2 linked regions of the Saccharomyces cerevisiae S288C genome follow. Changing the gene in region 1 together with any one later gene gives a genetic interaction. Each region holds a gene or a part of one and is shown in the gene's direction. Other genes may lie near its edges.

Region 1 (3,757 bases):
AGAAATAGCACAGACAAGGAATATGAAGGCTATCAAATTAACAGGTCATGAACGTCCATTAACTCAAGTGAAGTACAACAAAGAAGGTGATTTACTATTTTCATGTTCGAAAGATAGCTCGGCCAGTGTTTGGTATTCGTTGAACGGTGAAAGATTAGGTACTTTGGATGGTCACACCGGTACCATTTGGTCTATCGACGTCGACTGTTTCACCAAGTACTGTGTTACAGGAAGTGCTGATTACAGTATCAAATTATGGGATGTGTCAAACGGGCAATGTGTTGCTACATGGAAATCGCCTGTCCCCGTTAAAAGAGTTGAATTTTCCCCATGCGGTAACTACTTTCTAGCTATCTTGGACAACGTCATGAAAAATCCAGGTTCCATTAACATATACGAAATTGAAAGAGATTCCGCCACTCACGAATTAACAAAGGTCTCCGAAGAGCCAATCCATAAAATTATCACTCATGAAGGTTTAGACGCTGCCACCGTGGCTGGATGGTCGACTAAGGGCAAATACATCATTGCAGGCCATAAAGACGGTAAGATCAGCAAATACGATGTGTCCAACAACTACGAATACGTGGATTCCATCGATTTGCACGAAAAGTCCATCAGTGACATGCAATTTTCTCCTGATTTAACATACTTTATTACATCATCCAGAGATACTAACTCGTTCTTGGTCGATGTATCGACTCTACAAGTTCTTAAGAAATACGAAACAGACTGTCCTCTAAACACCGCCGTAATCACCCCATTGAAGGAATTCATTATTCTTGGTGGTGGTCAAGAGGCCAAGGATGTCACCACCACCAGTGCCAACGAAGGTAAGTTTGAAGCTAGGTTCTACCACAAGATCTTCGAAGAAGAAATCGGCAGAGTACAAGGCCATTTTGGTCCCTTGAACACAGTTGCCATTAGCCCACAGGGCACAAGTTATGCCTCCGGTGGTGAAGATGGGTTCATACGTCTACACCATTTCGAAAAATCTTACTTTGATTTCAAATACGACGTGGAGAAGGCCGCCGAAGCTAAAGAGCACATGCAAGAAGCTAATTAATGTTAATTTTGATGCTGATGTTGATGTATAGTAAACATACATATATGCATATACGCACGTATATATATATAAGAATATGAAACCCAAACTGTGGATATTATTTCGTTTATTATGATCTCTCGCATATCTTGATACGAAGTGCAAGTCATTATAATATTTAGACTTTTCATTACGTTAATAGAGAGTCACTTTAACCACGAGGGGAAAAAACACATACCCCTCCCCTTCGAGGTAATCTTCCGGTGAGATCTTCCCTGTATGCAGTTCCCGGGCATAGGCGGGTTTAACATCTTGCTAAAGAACTATCGCACTAACCCTCTGGTACCCAATGCCGAGATTCGGTAATGGGGGCACGGCACTACGGAAAAAAAACTACAATTCTAACTCTACCCCGCCCCTTACGAAAACGCCCTAGCTCAACCATTCCGACCGATAAAAAGTTGCCGCGATCCCGTCGATCGCATTTGGTTTTGAGGTAAAAAAAGAAAGCGACAGGGATCTTCTCCACGATGCTCGAGATGCCCTGGTCCTCGCTATGGCATTACTCTGGCCTCAGCGGTATTTGCATTCACAACCATCACCATCGGGATGGTAATACATGGCTCGGCAATGAGAAGAGTTTTGGCACACATGGGCCACTCCTTATGCTTTCTTTCCGTTGTCTCGAAGCGTGTGGTGTTTCTATTTTCATTCTCCTTCTTGGGTGTATATATAAAAGAGGTTGTGTTATATAAGACAACGCTCATTGGCCTGTTCTTGATTTTGATTTTTTCCGCTTTTGTGCTGTTGGGGCTAGAACTATAAGTGTGTCGATTGTTTTTATCTTCATTATTTCTTTTGCATGTTTAGTATTTAGACTAAATTTATACGCAGCTACTATCTTTTATTATATATTCTGGTAAACCAATTAAAGAGAGAAAAAGGAAAAAAATTTTCACACTAATATTCTTCATATAGCATCATAATATTGACTTATTAGAGCAAATAAAAAATTAACCAATAATAATGATTAGACAATCATTAATGAAAACAGTGTGGGCTAACTCCTCCAGGTTTAGCCTACAGAGCAAGTCGGGGCTTGTGAAATATGCCAAAAATAGATCGTTCCATGCAGCAAGAAATTTGCTAGAGGACAAGAAAGTCATTTTGCAAAAAGTGGCGCCCACTACTGGCGTTGTTGCGAAGCAGTCCTTTTTCAAGAGAACTGGGAAATTTACTTTGAAGGCTTTATTGTATTCTGCCCTCGCGGGTACGGCTTACGTTTCATACTCACTTTACCGAGAAGCTAACCCTTCTACCCAAGTTCCTCAATCGGACACTTTTCCAAACGGTTCAAAGAGGAAGACTTTGGTAATTCTGGGCTCCGGTTGGGGTTCTGTGTCGCTTTTGAAAAATTTGGACACCACGTTGTATAATGTTGTTGTTGTTTCTCCAAGAAATTATTTTCTTTTTACTCCGCTATTGCCATCTACCCCAGTTGGTACCATCGAATTGAAATCTATTGTTGAACCTGTCAGGACTATTGCTAGAAGATCGCACGGTGAAGTCCATTACTATGAAGCTGAAGCGTACGACGTTGATCCTGAAAACAAAACAATTAAGGTCAAATCTTCCGCTAAGAATAACGACTACGACTTGGACTTGAAATACGACTATCTGGTTGTCGGTGTGGGTGCTCAACCAAACACTTTTGGTACTCCGGGAGTTTATGAATATTCTTCTTTCTTGAAGGAAATATCCGACGCTCAAGAGATCAGATTAAAAATTATGTCCAGTATTGAGAAAGCTGCCTCCCTATCTCCAAAAGATCCTGAGAGAGCAAGATTGTTGAGCTTTGTTGTCGTTGGTGGTGGTCCCACCGGTGTCGAATTTGCCGCTGAATTGAGAGATTATGTTGACCAGGACTTGAGAAAATGGATGCCCGAATTGAGTAAAGAAATTAAAGTCACTTTGGTGGAGGCTTTGCCAAACATTTTGAACATGTTTGACAAGTATCTCGTTGACTATGCTCAAGATTTATTCAAAGAGGAAAAAATCGATTTAAGATTGAAAACAATGGTTAAGAAAGTTGACGCTACCACTATAACTGCCAAAACTGGCGATGGTGACATTGAAAATATACCGTATGGTGTATTAGTTTGGGCTACAGGTAATGCGCCAAGAGAAGTGTCTAAGAACCTAATGACTAAATTAGAGGAACAGGACTCAAGACGTGGTTTGTTGATAGATAACAAACTTCAACTTTTGGGTGCTAAGGGATCTATTTTTGCTATCGGCGATTGTACCTTCCACCCTGGCTTGTTCCCTACCGCTCAAGTTGCCCACCAAGAAGGTGAATACTTGGCTCAGTATTTCAAGAAAGCTTATAAAATCGATCAATTGAACTGGAAAATGACCCATGCTAAAGACGATTCAGAAGTCGCTAGATTAAAGAACCAAATAGTCAAAACGCAATCGCAAATTGAAGACTTCAAGTACAACCATAAGGGTGCTCTGGCTTATATTGGTTCAGATAAAGCCATTGCTGATCTTGCCGTTGGTGAAGCCAAATATAGGTTAGCCGGCTCATTCACCTTCCTATTCTGGAAATCTGCTTATTTGGCAATGTGTCTATCCTTTAGAAACAGAGTTCTTGTCGCTATGGATTGGGCTAAAGTTTATTTCTTGGGTAGAGATTCATCTATCTAGTAG
Region 2 (3,757 bases), on another chromosome or scaffold:
TTTTGCAGTGGCATTAAACACTGTTTCCTGGTCAGATTCTGCGCCGAACACCTGATCAAATTGGTAAGTTTTCTTCGAGGACGAATACGATTGGTGAGAACCGTTGGACAGAATGATTTCTTTCCCTTGTGGGCCTAGTGTAGATATAACTACACTACTTTTTTCCTCTATTTCTCGCTTATTACGCGATCTGCACCTTACATATACATGTATATTGGAGTCTGAAGTGGCAGCACCATTGTTACAGGTGGGCGGCGTTAGAGTGTGCATCCCATTTGAAAGACTTGGAGATGGAGCATGTGCAATGGTCCTCCTCTTGTTCGCTTCGAACTGGGCGGTGCGGCGGTTGGGCAAGGAAGAACGAGCCATGATTGTTTAACTATCTCGCCATATTTAGTGAGGGAAGCGCGAACTGTCGTTGATTGTTTATGTGTTTATTTTATGTTTATCGTTCTTAGAGGGTGGCGCGCACTGTGCGCGCATATGTGGGCCATACGCAGACATATATAAAGAACTAAGAAAAGGTGAAATGGGACTCTACGATGGCGCTAATGGTAAGGTCTCTTTTCTATTTGCCTAATTCAGATACAATATATAATTGCCAACCTCAAAGAAGAAGAATTATGGGCATATTGACCTTCTCCGGTTTCCCTCCCGCGCTCTCGTATCCGTCTGCATTTGACCTCGAGCAAGCGCTCCACTATGTCTATATGTTTACCAGTAAAACTTCTTAACGTTTGTGATATTTTTTGAACTTCAACCACATTCAGTATGCGTGTGTATATAAAGATATTCCTGATAGCACTATGTTTATCTTTATACAATATACAAAAGGTCACCCAGGACGAGCAGCGCGGCTATTTTTCTATCATTCCGTGAATAGCGACCAACGGTCGGCGGCTATTTTTTTTTTTGCAATTTTTTCGGGATGGGTTCCCCGGCAAAAGCTAGCCCCGGAGATTTTTAATTACGTAAAGAAACAAGGGGCCGGATGTTGCTGCTATTGGTATATAAAGAGAGAAGGAGAGATATAGAAAATTGTGCTTCTAGATTCTCGCAGTAGGATGAGATAAATTTCAAAGAAGCAGGAAGCAAAGGATGTTTAGTAGAATTTGTAGCGCTCAATTAAAGAGGACGGCATGGACCCTTCCTAAGCAGGCTCACTTGCAATCACAGACGATTAAAACATTTGCCACAGCACCTATTCTGTGCAAACAATTCAAACAAAGTGATCAACCAAGACTAAGAATAAACTCTGATGCTCCTAACTTTGATGCTGACACAACGGTTGGTAAAATCAATTTTTACGACTACTTGGGCGACTCTTGGGGGGTCTTGTTTTCTCACCCAGCAGATTTCACCCCTGTCTGCACCACCGAAGTCAGCGCATTCGCCAAATTGAAGCCGGAATTCGACAAGAGAAATGTTAAATTGATCGGGCTTTCAGTGGAAGATGTTGAGTCCCACGAAAAATGGATTCAAGACATCAAGGAAATAGCAAAGGTTAAAAATGTTGGTTTCCCAATAATTGGTGACACTTTTAGAAACGTGGCATTCCTATATGATATGGTAGATGCCGAAGGATTCAAAAATATCAATGATGGGTCACTGAAGACCGTGAGGTCTGTTTTCGTCATCGATCCCAAGAAGAAGATTAGACTGATTTTTACCTACCCTTCCACCGTCGGAAGAAACACTTCTGAAGTGTTAAGGGTAATCGACGCCTTGCAATTGACTGACAAGGAGGGCGTAGTAACTCCAATTAATTGGCAGCCAGCTGACGATGTCATTATTCCTCCCTCTGTCTCCAATGATGAGGCGAAGGCTAAATTTGGTCAATTTAATGAAATTAAACCCTATTTAAGATTCACCAAGTCGAAATAAGCTTTGAAATAAACGACTTTACTATATACAGGTATATGAAGTATCTCTAACTAAAACTTTTATCTATCTTTCATTCTTATTATATCTCATCTCGTACGAAGGGCCGCTCATTGGATCATTTTTCTTTACATACCGTAAAGGAATGGCGTTAAAAATATATATATGAAAATGCATGTAATAAACTCTCTGCAGAAACCTTAATGTCAAAGGTCCCGTATACAGATTATATTGGCTCTGCGTATACGCATTCTCGTCATGGTGAAGGATAATCGAGATTCTGACCAAGACCAAGATTTTAGTTCTGCTCACATGAAAAGACAACCGGAGCAGCAACAGTTGCAACAGCACCAGTTCCCAAGTAAGAAACAACGAATATCTCACCATGATGACAGTCATCAAATCAACCATAGACCAGTTACCTCATGTACACATTGTAGACAGCACAAAATCAAATGCGATGCTAGTCAAAATTTCCCTCATCCTTGCTCCAGATGCGAAAAAATTGGTCTCCACTGTGAAATCAATCCTCAATTCAGGCCTAAGAAGGGCTCACAGTTGCAACTACTGAGACAAGATGTGGATGAAATCAAATCTAAACTCGATACTCTTCTGGCCAATGACAGCGTTTTCGTTCATCTTTTACAACAGATTCCCATGGGCAATAGCCTTTTGAATAAGCTCAATCTGCATCCAACTCCAACTCCGGGTACTATTATCCCTAACCCAGATTCTTCTCCTTCCTCAGGTTCTCCAACTTCTTCCGCGGCTCAACGAGATTCTAAGGTTTCAGTTCAAACTTATTTGTCCAGGGAACCCCAACTCTTACAAGCAAATCAGGGCAGCAATACGAATAAATTTAAAGCAAATAATGAAGCATCTTCTCACATGACGTTGCGCGCATCTTCTTTAGCGCAAGATTCGAAAGGCTTGGTTGCAACAGAGCCAAATAAGCTGCCCCCGCTGCTAAATGACTCAGCATTGCCTAATAATTCAAAAGAATCTTTACCTCCTGCTTTGCAAATGGCTTTTTATAAGAACAACTCTGCAGGTAACACTCCGAACGGCCCCTTCTCTCCAATTCAAAAAACATATTCCCCTCATACTACGTCGACCACCGTTACAACGACAACAAATCAACCACCATTTGCAGCAACAAGCCACGTAGCAACAAATAACAATGCAGATAGGACGAAGACGCCGGTAGTAGCCACCACCACGACTATGCCATTATTGCCTTCGCCGCATGCAAATGTAGATGAGTTTGTACTGGGCGATATTAGTATTTCCATTGAAAAAGCGAATAGATTACACCATATTTTCGTGACTAGGTATCTGCCGTATTTTCCTATTATGTATTCCAATAACGCCACCGAATTATACTCCCAATCTCAGTTGCTTTTCTGGACCGTGATGTTGACGGCATGTCTGTCTGATCCTGAACCGACGATGTATTGCAAGCTAAGCTCTTTGATCAAGCAACTTGCCATAGAGACCTGCTGGATAAGAACACCTAGATCCACACATATTTCGCAAGCTTTGTTAATATTGTGCATTTGGCCTTTGCCTAACCAAAAAGTCCTAGATGATTGTTCTTACCGTTTTGTAGGATTAGCAAAGTCACTGTCTTATCAATTAGGTTTGCACAGAGGTGAATTCATTTCTGAATTCACAAGAACTCAAACATCAATGCCAAATGCAGAAAAGTGGAGAACTAGGACTTGGCTGGGAATATTTTTTGCCGAACTTTGTTGGGCGAGTATCCTTGGTTTGCCACCAACTTCACAGACAGACTATTTATTAGAAAAAGCCTTATCCTGTGGTGACGAAGAATCAGAAGAAGATAACAATGACAGTATTGACAATAACAACAATG

The links. A genetic interaction does not mean that the proteins touch.
Region 2: of NDE1 (region 1) and SEF1, changing one suppresses a phenotype caused by changing the other (phenotypic suppression), as found in Saccharomyces cerevisiae (one study listed by BioGRID).

The regions. Positions count from the first base shown.
Region 1 is NC_001145.3:554,790-558,546, reverse strand, and holds NDE1 (NADH-ubiquinone reductase (H(+)-translocating) NDE1), read left to right. Parts: upstream 1-2,071; coding exon 2,072-3,754; downstream 3,755-3,757. Other genes in the region: TIF34 (translation initiation factor eIF3 subunit i), read left to right, coding at 23-1,066.
Region 2 is NC_001134.8:98,498-102,254, reverse strand, and holds the start of SEF1 (Sef1p), read left to right. Parts: upstream 1-2,139; coding exon 2,140-3,757. Other genes in the region: KIP1 (Kip1p), read right to left, coding at 1-369; thioredoxin peroxidase PRX1, read left to right, coding at 1,099-1,884. UniProt on the Saccharomyces cerevisiae protein: Putative transcription factor that seems to be involved in the sporulation process. Suppresses the lethal phenotype of RPM2 deletion.